Linked DNA regions of Nothobranchius furzeri. Each later gene encodes a partner of the first gene's protein in a complex. Links are inferred from orthologs where the notes say so. Each region holds a gene or a part of one and is shown in the gene's direction. Other genes may lie near its edges.

Evidence for each region.
Region 2: the proteins of tubgcp2 (region 1) and tubgcp3 are in contact, whole or in part, in a cryo-EM structure (PDB 8Q62), measured with the Homo sapiens proteins. The link is inferred for Nothobranchius furzeri from reciprocal best matches to the Homo sapiens genes TUBGCP2 and TUBGCP3. Residues at the interface, in NP_006650.1 of Homo sapiens: Gln172, His173, Pro175, Ile176, Phe177, Pro178, Trp180, Arg184, Ala186, Leu187, Ile188, Gly189, Phe191, Leu222, Tyr223, Val226, Val228, Asp229, Gly230, Arg231, Glu278, Ser281, Phe283, Gln287, His290, Ala291, Ala294, Arg297, Val300, Lys301; in NP_006313.1 of Homo sapiens: Glu272, Asn273, Cys274, Ser286, Leu287, Asp289, Thr290, Val292, Arg293, Glu296, Trp299, Ser361, Thr363, Leu364, Arg365, Leu368, Val369, Tyr372, Lys375, Ile376, Lys379, Ala382, Ala383, Asp386, His387, Ala402, Tyr403, Lys405, Thr406, Gly407.
Region 3: tubgcp2 (region 1) and nme7 share a complex: the UniProt entries of both Homo sapiens proteins name them as parts of the gamma-tubulin ring complex. The link is inferred for Nothobranchius furzeri from reciprocal best matches to the Homo sapiens genes TUBGCP2 and NME7.
Region 4: tubgcp2 (region 1) and tubgcp4 share a complex: the UniProt entries of both Homo sapiens proteins name them as parts of the gamma-tubulin ring complex. The link is inferred for Nothobranchius furzeri from reciprocal best matches to the Homo sapiens genes TUBGCP2 and TUBGCP4.
Region 5: tubgcp2 (region 1) and tubgcp5 share a complex: the UniProt entries of both Homo sapiens proteins name them as parts of the gamma-tubulin ring complex. The link is inferred for Nothobranchius furzeri from reciprocal best matches to the Homo sapiens genes TUBGCP2 and TUBGCP5.

What each region holds. Positions count from the first base shown.
Region 1 is NC_091756.1:50,628,411-50,631,185, forward strand, and holds the end of tubgcp2 (gamma-tubulin complex component 2), read left to right. Parts: coding exon 1-75; intron 76-1,921; coding exon 1,922-1,997; 3' UTR 1,998-2,256; downstream 2,257-2,775. UniProt on the Homo sapiens protein: Component of the gamma-tubulin ring complex (gTuRC) which mediates microtubule nucleation.
Region 2 is NC_091754.1:48,784,651-48,788,170, forward strand, and holds part of tubgcp3 (gamma-tubulin complex component 3), read left to right. Parts: intron 1-980; coding exon 981-1,150; intron 1,151-1,313; coding exon 1,314-1,426; intron 1,427-2,318; coding exon 2,319-2,444; intron 2,445-2,516; coding exon 2,517-2,585; intron 2,586-3,520. UniProt on the Homo sapiens protein: Component of the gamma-tubulin ring complex (gTuRC) which mediates microtubule nucleation.
Region 3 is NC_091756.1:61,686,935-61,690,454, reverse strand, and holds part of nme7 (nucleoside diphosphate kinase homolog 7), read left to right. Parts: intron 1-1; coding exon 2-52; intron 53-194; coding exon 195-402; intron 403-509; coding exon 510-615; intron 616-3,226; coding exon 3,227-3,291; intron 3,292-3,520. UniProt on the Homo sapiens protein: Possesses an intrinsic kinase activity. Displays 3'-5' exonuclease activity with a preference for single-stranded DNA. Does not seem to have nucleoside diphosphate kinase activity.
Region 4 is NC_091749.1:30,388,268-30,390,912, forward strand, and holds part of tubgcp4 (gamma-tubulin complex component 4), read left to right. Parts: coding exon 1-83; intron 84-156; coding exon 157-322; intron 323-397; coding exon 398-522; intron 523-628; coding exon 629-679; intron 680-750; coding exon 751-856; intron 857-2,302; coding exon 2,303-2,410; intron 2,411-2,645. UniProt on the Homo sapiens protein: Component of the gamma-tubulin ring complex (gTuRC) which mediates microtubule nucleation.
Region 5 is NC_091756.1:62,472,755-62,476,724, reverse strand, and holds the start of tubgcp5 (gamma-tubulin complex component 5), read left to right. Parts: upstream 1-1,170; 5' UTR 1,171-1,368; coding exon 1,369-1,502; intron 1,503-1,606; coding exon 1,607-1,660; intron 1,661-3,970. UniProt on the Homo sapiens protein: Component of the gamma-tubulin ring complex (gTuRC) which mediates microtubule nucleation.

The sequences.
Region 1 (2,775 bases):
GCTCGACCTGCTGGACAAGCTGAGCATCTACAGCACCAACGACTGTGAGCACAGCATGATCAGCATCATCTACAGGTAATCATTTGGAACCCTAAGGTGCAGGAAGAGCTTCGCTGTGTCTCAATTCAGGGTCTGCATCCTTCGAAGGACCCAGCCTACTCGGCCGACGTGGGCTGAGTCCTCCGTCGGCCGGGTAGACCGGATGTTAACGGCTGTGAATTTGGACAGGCCTAGCCTTCATGAATTCCTGCCACTCCCTCGGCGAACGTTCCGTCGCCTAGCAACCGTGGAACCGCTGAGCAGGAGGGAGAAGGAACTTTAAACGATGGAGCTCGAAGTTTTATTTAGCTTTTTAATCATTTCCTTGACTGTTGGAGAGCTAATTCAGAGAAAATACTTTCGACAAGCTGAGCCTGAGCAAAGATGTGATAATAGTTTTTAATACTTTCTAAGGGTCTCAATTTGACCAAAACCGATTTATCACCTTTTAAGACTTTTCAAGACCCAGCTGATACCCTGTAATATGAAACAATTCTCATTTGTAAACAAAAATAAAATTTAAGTTTAATACAGAATAGATTTTATTTAGATATTTCTTTTATATGTACATGTTTAATCTTTCGTAACCATTTTTTCTAGCAAACTAAAAAGCTGTCAAAGTTCTCCCTTCTCTCCTGCCCTCTGCTGCTCTGCCTCCCTCTGCAGCCTCAAGTCCTCCCTGATCAGCTCCAGAAGCTGGTCATCGCTGTCACCTTCCCCTGGATGCCCATTTTCTCCAGAATAGTCTTAACAAACATGTAGGAAAAAACAGGAAGAGAAAAGAGGACAACGGGTTATTCCTTTCATGTTTTTGCAGAAAAAAACTAAACGACAGTTTTTAAAATATGAGATGTTATTGTACCTCCACAGCCGCCGAATACTTTGCTCCGGTGATCATGTGGTCCATCTCTGCCCTAAGCTTAATAAATTCCCTGGTTTTCTCTTTTGTCCCTAAAATACAAACTTCTATTAAAATCAGGGGGAAACGTAGCGGGAGAAGTACGACACCGAGCGGCCGAACATACGAGCCGAGACCGCAGTACAAGCACTTTTACTGTAACATTTCTAACTAAAATAACGTTCATGTATCACAAAAAGCCCTTAACCTAACAGTTTTCTAGTTTATACTGACATTTATATGTGCAATCCTCTCCGACAGCTCCCGCTTCACTGTCCGCCATTGTTTTTAAAAGTTCTGCCATCCTGCCCGCAAAGCATCTTGGGAAATGTAAACCATTGAAGGATACACCGGACCCATCCTTCATTCAGGCGAAAAGAAGGCCGGATTCGTCGACCGCATTTGAAGGAGTCTTCAAATTGGGACAGGCCTAGTCGCGGCGCTGTGACGTAACTGGCCGACGAATCCGGCCGTCGAAGGATGCAGACCCTGAATTGAGACACAGACCTAGTGTCAGCGAGAAGTGAATAATGGTGTTTTTATTAGCTGAAGTTTTCGTCAGTTACATTGATTTGAAGTGTCTTAGTAAGAGGATGTTCAATGATTTAGTGTTTCATAAACAAAATGTAAATATTTGGTTTTTCACACCACATCCACCTTGTAGAGGTGTGGTAACATGGGATCTATCTAAAGCCATGCTCTCACTAGTCTGCTGCAAACAGCATTCATGAAGGAGTCTCCAAAAAGTCTCGAGATGTTCCTGAGTGTTCTTAATGTGCATTCGTTGACCATGTTTGGGTAAATAAAGTTACCAAATCACAGCGAGGGTCTGAAACCCTTCTAGCTTTCTCAGTTTAGCTTGTTTCAGAAAATATAAAGAATTGTGAGGCAACGTTTGGAGGAGTTGGTGATTAAATTGTAAGATTTGTGCAATGGTAACATTTGTTTCTGTTGATTTAATCAAAATGGAATTTGGCTCCACAGGTTGGACTTTAATGGGTTCTACACTGAGAGGTTGGAGAGGATGGCTGTGGAGCGCAATCAGAAGGCTGCAGCGTAACATTTCTGCTGTTTGTGAATAAATAATCATTCAGAAAATAAACTTTTTTTTTACCTGTGCGTCACTCATAAACATCACTGATCATCAGCTGAAGGGTCATTGTGTTTTATATTATCTGCTGTGTAAAATGTCTTGATCAGCAGGATTATTGTTATGTTTCGTCTCAGAACTTCTAAGTTGTGAAACTTCATGTTGGTAACTTATTGTACAGCAGAAAACTGTATTTGCATTTCATTAAAGCAAAACTTTGCTGATCCAACTTTGAGTTTTGATTTTTACTACAAAATCCTCTGCCTCCATCTTAAAACCCAAAGCTTCAGCCAATTTTCATCTACTGTAAAATACAAAAAATATTTAAGGCTTGTCTTTTGACTGGTTTTTCCAAAAAGCTGTGAAGCAACTGCAGCTTATTCAGAATGCTGCTGCAAGAGTCTTATCAAGAACCAAGAGAAGTGAGCACATCACTCCTGTTCTGCACCTCTACCTTGGTTACCAGCATAGGCGTCATTTTAACCGGGACGCCGGGGACATGTCCCCGGCAAAATTTGTGATTGGCAGCTGTGTCCCCCCACTTTCAAAAACGCCTGCTGATGAGGATTTTTGTTTTACCAGCTCAGATCTTATACCAGGGGTCGGCAACCTGTTCCCATCAAAGAGCCATTATTACCCGTTTCTCACGGTAATTTTGGACGGACCTTAATAAGCAGTGACTTAAGTGAAGCAGGCAGGTCGCACTAGAAAATTTCGTTTAAAAAGACGTCATAAATGTGTTCCCCCG
Region 2 (3,520 bases), on another chromosome or scaffold:
CATTACGGTCAGGGTCTCAGTCTCGTTACGGTCTCAGTCTTTTTACGGTCTCGGTCTCGTTACGGTCTCTGTCTCATTACGGTCAGGGTCTCGGTCTCGTTAGGGTCTCATTCTTGTTGTGGTCTTGTTGCGGTCTCTGTCTCGTTACGGTCTCGGTCTTGTTACGGTCTCTGTCTCGTTACGGTCTCGGTCTTGTTGCGGTCAGGGTCTCTGTCTCGTTACGGTCTCTGTCTCGTTACGGTCTCAGTCTTGTTGCGGTCCGGGTCTCGGTCTCATTACGGTCTCCGTCACTTTCGGCGAATATTTAAAAGATGGAGCCTATTTCTGTCGGCCTCTGCAGGTCTGCCGGAAAGCGCTTTTGGTGACGTGTCATGGCGTTGCACGTCTTCGTACTGACGCAGAAGGAGACGTGGACATCAGGCTTGAGAGGTTTTTGAAAACATCAAAGGTTTGGCTGCGTTTGTGAAAGCAACCAGCAGCAGAGCAGAGCTGATCTAAAAACACCAGCATGACTCGACTCTGAGTCCACGACCTGCCTCAGGCTCATTTTTCTGAAGTTAACTTGCTGCGACTCGTGTTTACAATGTAGTTCATTTACTCTTGTTTATACAGAACGTTTATTTCTTTATTTGGGATCTAAACTTTGTCGGTTTCAGGTTTTCAGAGACCAGAGTCGATGTTTCATGTCTCTGGCACCAAAGGACAGATAACAGCTTTCACTCTGTTAACTTTAGTTTTGCTCTAAGAGTAAAATAATTCCTAATTTTTATTGTTTTATACAGATATTTCAATTTTGTGTCTTATTCTGGTTCTAAAAAGGAAGATATTTGTTTGCTTTAATAAACATTTAAGTGTTTTTTTTCTCTCTCAATAGATTTAGAAATAGAAATACTAAATCTATTTCTCTGTGGAGCCTCTTAGTTTAGTCGCGTTTTGCTCAGATTCTCCAGATTAATCTAGAACCCTTTCTGTGTCTTCAGTCAGTCTTCAGCTGGAGCCACGCAACCTCTGGGCTCTCGGTTAGCCTGGGCACTTCCTGTAAGCTCCTCCCCTTCATCTGCTCTGGCCCCGCCCACATCCAGACCACCCCTCGGGCCTGCGGTTCTGTCCAGCAGGCTGGTCCGTCCTCGACGGGACGGCGACGCAGCTGGTGAATGACTACAGTTGTTGTTAATCACTAAATAAGTTATTGTTAAATTAAAAAGAACACTTTATTTCTACTTATTTTACCAACTTTTCCAGGTTTTTAAGTTCCTTTCTCAGAGAACTACTGTTCAGTTTTAATGTTGATCGCCCATCTTCCACCCGTGCAGATGAGGTGAGCGAGGCGGCGCTGGTGCGGGACATCCTCTACGTCTTCCAGGGAATCGACGGCAAATTCATCAAGATGAACGCTCAGGAAAACGGCTACAAAATGGACAGCAAGGTACGTTCTCCGAGGCCGAGGTGACCCCGCTGGGATTAAACCGTTGCTGCTAATTGCACTTTCAGCCGATCGATGCGAGGCTTTTTGGCGCTGAAACGCATCAGCTGGAGCTTTTTCTGGCCTGTCGATTCCTTTTGTTCCACGTCGTTCCGGACCGGTGCTGCTAAACTTAGATTCATGGTCGGAGTTTTCCATCAGGACAGGAGCCGGAGAGGATAGTTGAGTCAAGGATGAAGATATTTTGGAGTTCCCATCCCCACTTAACCTCCCTGGAGAAAACGTTAAGAGGATAAAAATTTAATGCAACATTAAGAGTGAATTATTCTCGCCTTTCCGGTTACGCTGATGGAAAACTACGGCCGTTTCCACCCACACGCCAAAGCTTTAGCTTTTTCGTTTTATTACTGTTGGGAAGTCACTGCAGAATTTACACGGTTAAGTTATTTCTAATTAATCATAACGGGAGTTTTCTGCTTTAAAGTTCAGCAGAGAAATGCATCTAAATGATTTTGGGTCTGTTTTAGTTTCCAATTTCTGTAAAAGTTATGAACAATTTCTATTTTAAATGATTTTTAAGTAATTTTTAGTTTAGTAAATTCTAACATATTTTAGATTCACACAACAAATCCTGGCCTGAGGCTAACAGTCATAAATGAATGAGCTGGATGAGGATTTAGTCGGCTGTAGCTGCTTTAGACGTTATCTACTACAAGTAATATTTATAAAGACGCAGGTATGTTTCTCTGAGGGAATCGTTTCACCTTAAAAATATATAAAAACTGCTGATTTTAGTAGTTTTGACCTTTTCTAAATGATAAACGGGAAACGTGTCCACTCTTCAGGTCTAGACTCAGTCATCAGGATTCAGAGCACTTCTGTTTCCAACCTCTAGGTGGTGCTATGCAGGTCCCTCAGGGACACCAGCAGCAGACTGGCTGAACTGGGCTGGCTCCATAACAAAGTTAGGAAGTACACCGACGCCAGGAGCCTGGATCGGGCCTTCGGATTGGTCGGACAGGTGAGTCGTCGTTGCCTGGTTGTGTTTTTCACTCCTGTACACCTGTTGATGCTCACCTGTGTTTTTCCCCAGAGCTTCTGCGCCTCCCTTCACCAGGAGCTGAAAGAGTACTACAGGCTCCTCTCTGTCCTCCACTCACAGGTAATATTCCTTATGGCTGACATGCTTTTATTTTGGTAACCTGTCTTATCCATGGCCCGCGGGGGGGGGGGGGGGGGGGGGGGGGGGGGGGCTTCCACTTTGAGGAAAATTCAAACGGAATAAAAAATGAAACATGTAAAGTTGTGGAATTAGTCAAAATCCAGATGTAATCCAATCTGGATTTGCTGATAATCTGTGTTTTTCACTCTTTACAGTAAAGTTCACCAAGATTGAGAGATTAGAGATGCACCCATTCAAATGTTGAGATCCTGATGTTGAAGAAAGTTCTAGATCAGGTATCAGGAAAATGGGTTTGATCTGTGCTGAGAGCTGAGAGAGACATCACACGCTAGCGAGTCACCTCTCAAAGGCTCACGTTGTTTTCAGATTGGAGCAAACTAAAGAAACCGCGCACTGGAGCGTTCTCACGCCACCTCAGCCACCTCAGGTGTCGGTATCGGACGATACTAAACATCATGTGCCGGTATCGGACGATACTAAACCTCAGGTGTCGGTATCGGACGATGCTAAACCTCAGGTGTCGGTATCGGACGATGCTAAACCTCAGGTGTCGGTATCGGACGGTACTAAACCTCAGGTGCCGGTTTCGGACGATACTAAACCTCAGGTGCCGGTATCGGACGATACTAAACCTCAGGTGCCGGTATCGGACGGTACTAAACCTCAGGTGCCGGTTTCGGACGATACTAAACCTCAGGTGTCGGTATCGGACGGTACTAAACCTCAGGTGCCGGTTTCGGACGATACTAAACCTCAGGTGCCGGTATCGGACGATACTAAACCTCAGGTGCCGGTATCGGACGATACTAAACCTCAGGTGTCTGTATCGGACGATACTAACCCTCAGGTGTCTGTATCGGACGATACTAAACCTCAGGTGTCTGTATCGGACGATACTAAAACTCAGGTGTCTG
Region 3 (3,520 bases), about 11 Mb from region 1:
GGAGCCAAGCGGAAGACTTTTACGTGGAACATCAGTCAAAGCCTTTCTTCAGGTGAGTGCTCGTGTAAATGATCTCCCAGTTCTGAGCAGAGAAGGGTTGTGATTGCCATCTAGCACTCCGACCACAACCTGTGATGGTGACATTTTAGAGTTTTTTAAATTCAAATCAGCTCCAACGTGACTCTGTTTTGCAGTGCGCTGGTGCACTTCATGTCCTCTGGGCCAGTGGTTGCCATGGAGCTGGTGGGTGACAAGGCCCTGTCGATCTGGAGGGAGCTCCTGGGACCTGCAGACTCTGCTGTGGCGTTAACAGAGGCGCCACAGAGCATCCGTGCACAGTTTGGAACAGACGCCATCAAAAATGTGGCCCATGGCTCTGACTCCATAGCTGTAGCAGCAAGAGTGAGGATTTTGACTTTGTTCTCGCTCTCTTGTGCCTTCAGTAGTCTGAGAATCGCACTTCCTGGAACGGTCATGATCATTAAAGTTTGTGTGTTTGTTTTTGTAAGGAGCTGGAATTCTTTTTTCCTTCCACGGTCGGCCATGGCCCCTCCAACACAGCCCTGTTCACAGACTGCACTTGTTGTATCATCAAACCCCACGCTGTATCAGCAGGTAAGGAGTCACTCAGGCATGGCAAAATATCTCACTTTTATTTGTATTTTGTTATTTTGAGTTCCTGTGCTGCTGGCTTGTTTCCCCCCCCCCTCCCCAACAAAGCCACCATGTGGTTTCCAAAATGGCCTTGGATTTTTCCAAATCCCAGTGCTGATCCCTGCTCCCGGGGCATGCCACCAGAGCTCTGAGCTGTGAAATGTGAAATTCTGTGCAGAGCTGATGTTTGCACACAGAAAGCTGTTGACTGGAGGTGGACCCCAGCTTTTGTTCTGCACTTACAGCAGAGAACATACAGTAATAACTACAGATCCACTAATATCTTGTTGTATCTTGAGTTTCATCATTTCTCTGGTATCTGACTGTCTTTATGTTTCAGTTTGAGCCAGCGTGACATTATATTGCACATACATGTATAAATTCATGTACCCTTGCATTTACGATGGAAACGCTCTCAATGGTCCCTGAAATAAACTTAAAGGGATTTTCCACCCCTAAGTGAAATTGAGTTTATTGCTGTATTCCCCAGAGTCAGAAAAGTCAGAAAAAAAAACCGACAAAATGATTCATTATAAAGGTTTTGTGAAAGCAAGGCTTATTTCCGTCCACTGCCTCTGGGCGATAATAAAGCCATGGTGTATCTGTGCACCGCTGCTCTCTGGCCTGCCTTCATGCTGCACCTAAACAGAACAGATCGCCCACTTTTGTTATTTCTGCAGTTACAGCCACGCTTAGCCTGCTAGGGCACGTTCAAATCTTTGGCTTGAGAAAGGAGGCGGTGAGAGAGAATACAAGTGGGCATGCTTTGTTTGTCTGCAAGGCACCGTTGAGCAACAGTTAAGCTTGCAACGAGCCGCGGTGATAAACCAGCTCGGTCCGAACGCATGGATTTCAACATTTGCTCAGTGAATACCGGTGGTTGTTGGCTGTGTTAATCATTCCTGACAGGTCACAGTGATAGTGCTCTGTGCTCGTATATAAACTTTTTATCAAACCCCGGCGTTTTCAAATGAAGGTTTCCTTCATTAGGGGGTCCAAATAAATTTAAAAAAAGTAGTTTTATGTGGAACAATAATTGCTCCCCATGTTACGTCCTGATTTATTTGTGATTAAACATATTTGTAGAGCTGGGGTGAGTTTCACCAGCCACACCCAGGCCTGCTTACTGCCACTAACTTCAACAGAACCTGTCCAACAACATGAAGTAGGCTAAAAGATCTCCATGCTCTGGTCTAAAGAACCCAACATCACCAAAGCACTGCAGACCTCATTAAGGTCAGAGGTCATGAATCAACCATGGCGACAGAGAGGTTCTACTGACCGTAATAATCCATAAGACTCATCTCACATTACATTTAGTGTAAAACTAACACTTCATTTCAGTGAAGTATCCTCATTCCAACAGTGAAGCATGGTGATGGTGGTATGATGGTCTGGGGCAGTTTTGCTGCTGCAGGACCTGGGCCACTTCCTGTAAATGATGGAACCATGAACGCTGATCCGTAGCAGAACATATCTTAAACAATGTCTCGCTTAAGCTGATGTGTTTGATGTGCTACAAGAAGTTTGGCGCTTCTTAAAACAGTTCAGTTAAAACGAATCAGTTATCTCTCAGAAAGTGTGGCATTGTTAAAACTTCAAAGCTCCTACTCAGGCGTCAGTTTCACTGCTAGAAGTGACTCCCACACTGTTTACCTTCAGAGCCGTGATATATTTGGTCCGAGCCAAGAATAGAAACCAGGCTGAATGATTTGTCCAGCTGAGGTCGACAAAAAGCTCTGCTCTGATCTCCCCTCAGAAATCTCTTCAGTAGCTCATTTATGTCGTCAAGACGGCCTGTCACCGTGGCCATGAAGGACGCTGTGAGTGAAAATTCACTCAGACATGACCGGAATAGAGAAGCTTCTGTTGCCAGGCTCCTGGAATAGTATCTCCTAGCAACAGCAGCAGCTGCTTTGTGGCGCTGCGAGGAGTGTGTGGAACCTGTGCAGTCCTGGGGAGGGCACAAAGGACTCAGGCTATTACCTAGTGCACATAACTGGACTGTGACGTAGGGAGGGAGAGATCCACAGACGGCGGCTACGCCTGGTTCCTATTGAACGTCTGCGCTGCAGCATTTAGAGTTAATGAAAACCGTCCTGGGTGACAGGTACACAAGCTACTTTTTATCAGACTGAGATTACGAGACTGGCGCCTTGATTCAATTGTGTGTCTGCAGCAGTCTGACCTTCAGAGTCACTGCAGCTGCACCACTTCTACAGCAAAGACCCAGCTCTTTGATGGGATGTACAGTTCACTATCTCGTTTCCTAAAAGGTTGCCTGGACAAAAATGCTTTCCCTCGATAGACAACACATCAGCGAGACTATCTCACTCTGTCCAGAGGACAGACTGAGGTCAGTGCACTGAGATGTACCGCTGATGTCTGAGCAGAAGCACGTTCAGTAGTGATGCATCCGGACTTCACGATAGTCAGATGCTTCACTGCAGCAGTGGATTCAGGTGTTATTTGATCTGGACGACATCTGAGATTGCTGCAGCACTAAAATACCGTGTTTGTCCTTCTGTGTAAACTCGGCTCATAAAGACTGATGAGCATCATGTGTTCACAGGGCTGACTGGGAAGATTCTTAACTCCATATCTGCAGCTGGATTTGAGATCTCAGCTCTTGGAATGGTGATTATTATTTTTCTGTGTTTGTTTCACATGAAATGAGTAAGGTCTGTAAACTCTAGCGCTTTAACAGCGACTCTTCATGCTTCCCACAGATCGATGCTGTAGAACTAACAAGCTGCTCAGTGTTACTGTGAAAGGGTTAGGGTCCATTAGGTGGAATAAAATCCCTTCATTTCAGTCTGTTGTAACAAATGGTTAATGGCCTGTATTTATACACCACTTTCTAGGG
Region 4 (2,645 bases), on another chromosome or scaffold:
CTGCTGCCAGCCAGGACGAGGAGGAGGAGGACCTGGGTCTGGGAGGTTTAAGTGGCAAGCAGCTCAGAGAATTACAGGACCTGGTGAGGCCGGTTAAAGTCCTTCATCAGTCCGTGGATAGGGTCTGTCTAACAGCGTTTACTCTAATGTCTTCAGAGGCTGATCGAGGAGGAGAACATGCTGGCTCCATCACTCCAGCAGTTCTCTCTGCGAACAGAGATGCTGCCATCTTATATCCCCATCAGGGTGGCTGAGAAGATCCTGTTTGTTGGAGAATCTGTTCAAATGTTTGAAAATCACAACCACAGCCCGTCCAGAGCCGGTACTTCATATATATGTGGAGTCTAGCGCCCGCTTATTAGTGACCCTCAAACACATCTTTGTCCTTTTGTTTTAGGCTCCATATTAAAGCACCAGGAGGACCTTTTTGCTGCTGAGCTACACAGACTCAAACAGCAGCCGCTGTTCAGCCTGGTGGACTTTGAGAATTTAATCGATCGAATCAGGAGCACAGTGGCAGAGGTGAGCACCAGCATCGCTGCATTACTTTACTCGGTTAAATAAAAACACAAGTTGGCGGGGACGGCGCTGTAAAACGTAACCCTGGTCCTATTGTTTTGATCTGCAGCACCTGTGGACGTTGATGGTGGAGGAGGCAAATCTGCTGGAACAGCTCAAGGTTTTTCATTTCGTAATTGTTTGTTGAACTCGGATATGCGCTGTGCTGACGATGTTTGTGATCTCCTCCAGATCGTTAAGGATTTCTACCTGCTGGGTCGTGGCGAGCTCTATCAGGTGTTCATTGACCTTGCTCAGCACATGTTGAAGACTCCTCCAACAGCAGTCACCGAGCACGGTAAACATGTCTGCACAGATCTCACTCACCTCTGGGTGTTTTTATTTTACCTGGTGTTAAATCATATCATATGCATTCTGTATACATGAAATATTTTACAGAATTATGATCCATAGCAAACTTTCTTGAGACAACCAGTTCCTCTCATTTGGGTGTTTTCTCTGAGGAAGGAGTTCAGACAGTGGTGGTTAGATGCCAGAGGGGTCTCCTCCTCTTCATCAGATCATAATCGGGTTCATCGTTTTACAGAGGAAGACTCAGACCCTGTAGATGAAGAGCTGTTTTTGACCTCCTAAACTGGTGTACCTGTAAATGTTTCACAAATAAACGTGTAGTCGGTTGTTTGTTTAGACTGTCAATCATTTTTTTGACGCTTTCACGAAAGGCTGTCGTCGTGCGTTCTTGGTGCTGGGTAGTTTTCACTTCCTGCGCATTCTGTCTATGTGCAGAGTGATCCGCTTTTATTCCTCGTCGTTCTCACCGGGTTCTTTTGAAAATGGCCGAGAGTCGCAAGAGGAGAAGTGTCTCTGAAGTCGGGCCCTAGAAATAAGATCAGAATCTTTTTTTAGGAGACTCTTTCCAACGATGGCGTACGCTTAAAGCGAAGGTTGGCCTCCCCCCAGACACCTCTGTTGCTGGTTTTCTGCTCGACGGGTAAGCTGAAGTTCGGCGTGCTGTTTGGAGGAATTAATTTCAGATTACTGCTAGAAGAAGCGCTGCAAGGCCGGCAGCAACTTATAAACAGAGTGTGCATTTTTTTCTAAACAGACCCTGCATCCAGACCAAATGCCTGAACCGCCTCAGCTGGCTCCTATTAACACGGAGGAGCAGCGGCTCCGCTGTTTGCTCCTCCCTCTCAACGGCTGAGCCCAACCTCCCTGCTAAGGAAACTCCTTATAGCCGCTTGTGTTCATGATCTTGTTTCTGGCATTACTCAGCGCTAATGGCCAAAAGTCAGGATCGAGATGAAGATCACCTTCACTGTCTGGCTTAACGCTTTCTTCACCTCAACTGACCAGTTCAGCATCCACACCACTGCAGACGTGTGCCCTGATCTCCTGCTCCCTCCTTCACTCACTCCAGAATATTCTGTGAAACAAACCATTTAGTTGACTTGTTTTCAATTCTCTTTAGAAAATTCTAATTCATTTAGAGGAGGTTTTGGCCTTGTTTTGTGTGGCTGACCCAGTTTTTTTTAGTCTGTGCAGAGACCGAGATGTTTGCCTGTTTAAGCCGCTTGGGTCACCTTACAGCTAATAAGAGACAACAGAAGCACAGAGTCGCCCTCACCTTCTGATTTAGCTCTAGTGGGTTGTGACCAAAAAGTCATTGTACACCTGGGCTTCCACCATCTGCTGGTTTCTGTTGATGAAAAGTGTCTGAATTTGTGTTCACTACTAGCAGCAGTCATGGATTTCATGTGCTGAGACTGTTTTCTCCTTCCAGACGTGAACGTGGCGTTCCAGCAGGCTGCTCATAAGGTGCTGCTGGACGACGACAACCTGCTGCCTCTGCTGCATCTAACTGTGGACTACCAGGGCAAAGAGAGCAAAGGTTCACTTGTTTTTTATATTAAGGTCATGAAGGAAAATAAAAGAGGGAAAAAAAATCAGCCTTGGGGAATTTAGAGGCGGAGAAATGGCTCATGTGCCCTTTTAGAAGATGTTATTGTTGTGTACATGTGTGATCTAAAGTTTCTCTGTTGCAAACATGCGTTACATGTTTGTTGAAAAATATGAACTAATAATGGTGATGGTGAGTGTTTGTGGACACGGCATGCCAGCAATGA
Region 5 (3,970 bases), about 12 Mb from region 1:
TTTAAATATTCTTCACATTTTCCACAAATATCAACATTTCATTTAAAGAAACATTATTCTTCCAGCAAATTATTTTTTGAACCTACTAATAGAAAAAAATATTTTAAGTGACAACAAATCTCTTTTAGTCGATATTTATGGAAGGTATAAAAAAGTCTGCCTTTTATTTGATAAAAAAGGTCAGAATTCTGACTTCAACCTCCCAAGGCCTGAATTTGTATTTGGTGTGAAAAAAGAAAGAAAAAGAAACATTTTTAAAACTTAATCAAAATCAAGTGTCTCTAAATCATATCTTTTAAAAAGGTCTAAGTTGAAGAGAATGAAATATAATGCAAGAAGAAGTCAATGTCACATATGTGGACACAGGGTCTCATTTGGATTATTTCCTTAGGGCTTATTTTTGGGATTCTGTGAAAAAGAGAGAACCATTTTTTGGTGTCGTTGATGTATTGAAATGATATTTTTTATACTTTTATTTACAGTAAATTACAAAAATCTTTTTTCAGCTTAATTTAAAACGATTAAAGGGATTTTGTAATTATATTCTGATTCCTCTTTTTTCTTTATTCACATTGTAGGTGGATGGACCTGCATTCATCTTTAATGAAGACCCCTGGAATGTGTTTAAACCAATTAAATATTGATCAGTTTCAGAGGACAAACTTTAAGAATAATTGCTTTTATAGTTTAATCAGTAAATTATCATTTATTGCAATTTATACCTTTTGAAATATGCTATTCTTGATTTAAGAACGTGTTATAACCAATGCAGTCATTTAAGACATACGGGGGATGGCTGGACCAATAATTTACTAATGTGATCTCTCACACATATGGCAATAAACCCTTCTCGTTCTGATTCTGAAAAGGGATTAATTAAGATGAGATGGTGGGCGTGGCTATAAGCATGGGGTTAATCAATCAAACAAACCAATGAATGATTTTGAAATACAAATTATGAGTTTAATATTGTTTGATTTAAGAAGAAGGGATGTATTTGACCAGCAGAAATGCAAATTTTGATACTCGAAAAATGTAAACGGGTGCGTGCTTTTTTATATGATACAACAGCCTTCCATACAACATAACATTTCAACGAACAAGAAGGAAATAAAGCGTTGACTTTTTTTCAGTGGTACGCATGCGCACCATTGTATGTTTCGATGACGCGGTAGTGGAGGAATCAATGGACCTAACAGTCAATGTAGCGCCTCAGTTTTTGTACATTTGCAATAACGATTTCAACGTTGTTCTTCAAGTCTTATATTTTGAAAAGTTATCCAATAGTTTGCAAGAGTGAGCCAGGCGGTTCCATGCAGGCTAACGCTTGGGGCTAATTCTTGTAGCACAACCAGCAGCTGGAACACCATGGCACACTGGAGCACCTTTGAAAAGGAGACGGAGAAAGAAACCAAGAAGTTAATCAGATCTATCAGCAAGATTGAAGATGAGGAGGACCAAAATTTCCAGTCTGCGCTGAAATTTACGTGGTCAAATTTCAAGTAAGTTAGCCACCGGAAGCAAGCATGTTGTTAGCTGCTAACAAAAGTGTAGCTAACTCAAAGAAGGGCTGCTGTTTACCGCCTGCTTTAATTTCCTCTGTCAGATTTCATCGTTATTTGGACGTCGACAGTCATAAAGTTCAACGCAGTATAAGTGGGTGAGTGCGTTTTGCTGCTCTTGTTTCCTTCCGGTTGTATTATGTTTCATTTGATTTATTTTAGGGAAATGTGAGTCTAATGGACGGATGTGATCTGGACAGGTGAAGCTCTTAAAAGCCACTTTACAGATCAATACAAGCCTGTTGGTGAATATATATATATATATATATATATATATATATATATATATATATATATATATGAGATGCTAAACATAGCTGATAAAGTCTGAATAATAGGGCCTTTTTGGTTCGATTTGTTGACTTTATAATAAACAACAGCATAAACAGTCTTTGGTTCTGGTTCATTGTAATTTACTGCCAGTGGCTGTAAAGCATCTTCGTTTGGAATAGTTTCATTATGTTGTTTTACTAAGATGACTACTACAGGTAGATCCACCTGATTTAACATTTTTGTATCTTGCACAGTTTTTTGTTGATTGTGTTTAATGCAATATGTTGTTTTAATATTCTGTAGCTGTACTCGTTTGGCTGAATCACAAAACACTCATCTCAAATTGATCTGTATTCAAACAGGAAAGAAGTCAATTCTTGTTTAATTCAGAAATGCATCCGAAAAAAAGCTGGTTATTAGAATTAGCCCATATTTTCTATGGTTTTTCATATAATTTTCAATAATTATTGATATCAATCAATAAGATTTTTTTATTGATTGGAATTTTTTCTATATCGTCCAGTCCTAATATATATACATAATTTTTTAGCTTGTTGTCTGTATAAAAGACACCTGTCCACACCTTAAAACCATCAGACTTATACCTCCACCATGGCCAAGACCTTAGAGCTGTCTAAGGACACCAGGGACAAGACTGTACACCTGCAAAAGACTCGATGAGCCAATCTACAATTGGCATCAAGCTCTTACTTCATGGGGTACTAATGATCTTGAGAGAATGGTGAAACAGCCCAGAACTACACTAGGGGGTGGTTAATGACCTGAAGAGAGCTGAGACCACAGTGACAAAGGTTACTATTACTAACACACTACATTGACATGAATTAAAATTCCGTAATGCTCTTAAGTCCCCCTGCTCAGAACAGCACATGTCCAGGGGTCTCATTTATCAAACATGGCGCAGAATCCTTACTAAAACCGTACTTAAGCTCAGCAAAAATATGTACTTACGCCAAGCAGGTGTGTGATCTATCAAACATGGAGGACTCACAGCTGCACGCAACCTCCACTTCATAAATCTGAGACTTATGAGAATGTTTCTCAGCTGCATTTTAGTCACATCCTGCCCTCACCACGCCCACCTATTGCCATAAATGGTCAATGCAAAGTGCCTTGTGGATCTCATGCATATACATAAGCCGGCTGTTGCAGCGCTCCGCCAATGACATGGCGACCGTAGATCAAGGCAGATCAAGGAAGCGCTATTTCACAGAAGCAGAAGTTGAGGTACCTGTGGGTGAGGTGGAGAAATGAAAGGAAGTGCTTTTGCAAAACAAATAAGAGAAAATCCACAGAGTGGCACAGCGTTGCTGAAGCCGTCAATGCTGACTTCTTCAGAGAGATCTGTGGCGGGTATAAAAAAAATGATACGATCGGGATTCGATCCCCAGACTCCTGGATGAAAGTCACGCGCACTAACCAGTCACCCAAACAGAGATCTCCCCTGTACAAGTAGCCAGGGCGCATGATCGATCGGGTCACAGTGACAGGACACACACTGTCACACACGCATGATGTTCTGTCTCAATCTGTCCCCCTGCTGATATTCTGTATTCTGCGCTTCAGGCTGTGTGTGTGTGTGTGTGTGTGTGTGTGGGGGGGGGGGGGGGGGTCTTGTTCTGTGTGAAAATGAAGCAGTACAAGTGATAATGCTGCAGGATTTCATCAGTTTATCCTTCTCAGCAGCAGCACTGCAGGTGCTCTCCATGTCCAGCATGTGTGTAAGCCAGGTCCTTAGTCATCTTAAAGTTGTGCACGTTTTTCAGCCAAGTTTTCTTTCATAAATCCCAAAGTTTGCGTGGAAAGTTGCTTACGCTGTTTTCCAACCCCATTTTGTGCGTAAGCTAGCTTGATGAATGAGGCCCCAGTCCGTCTGAAGTGTGCCAGCCAGAGACCACCGGGATGATCCAGAGAAGGATCAGGAAATTCAGATGGGAGCAAAACAGAACTGTTTGGAACTTGCTGTGTTTGGAGGAGGAAGAATGCTGAGTTGCATTCCAAGAACACCATTACCTCTGTGAGTCAGGGGGAAAAATTATATTTTGAGGCTGATTTTCTGCAAAGGGGACAGGACTGATCTGTATTCAGGAAAATGGGGCCGTGTATCATGAGAT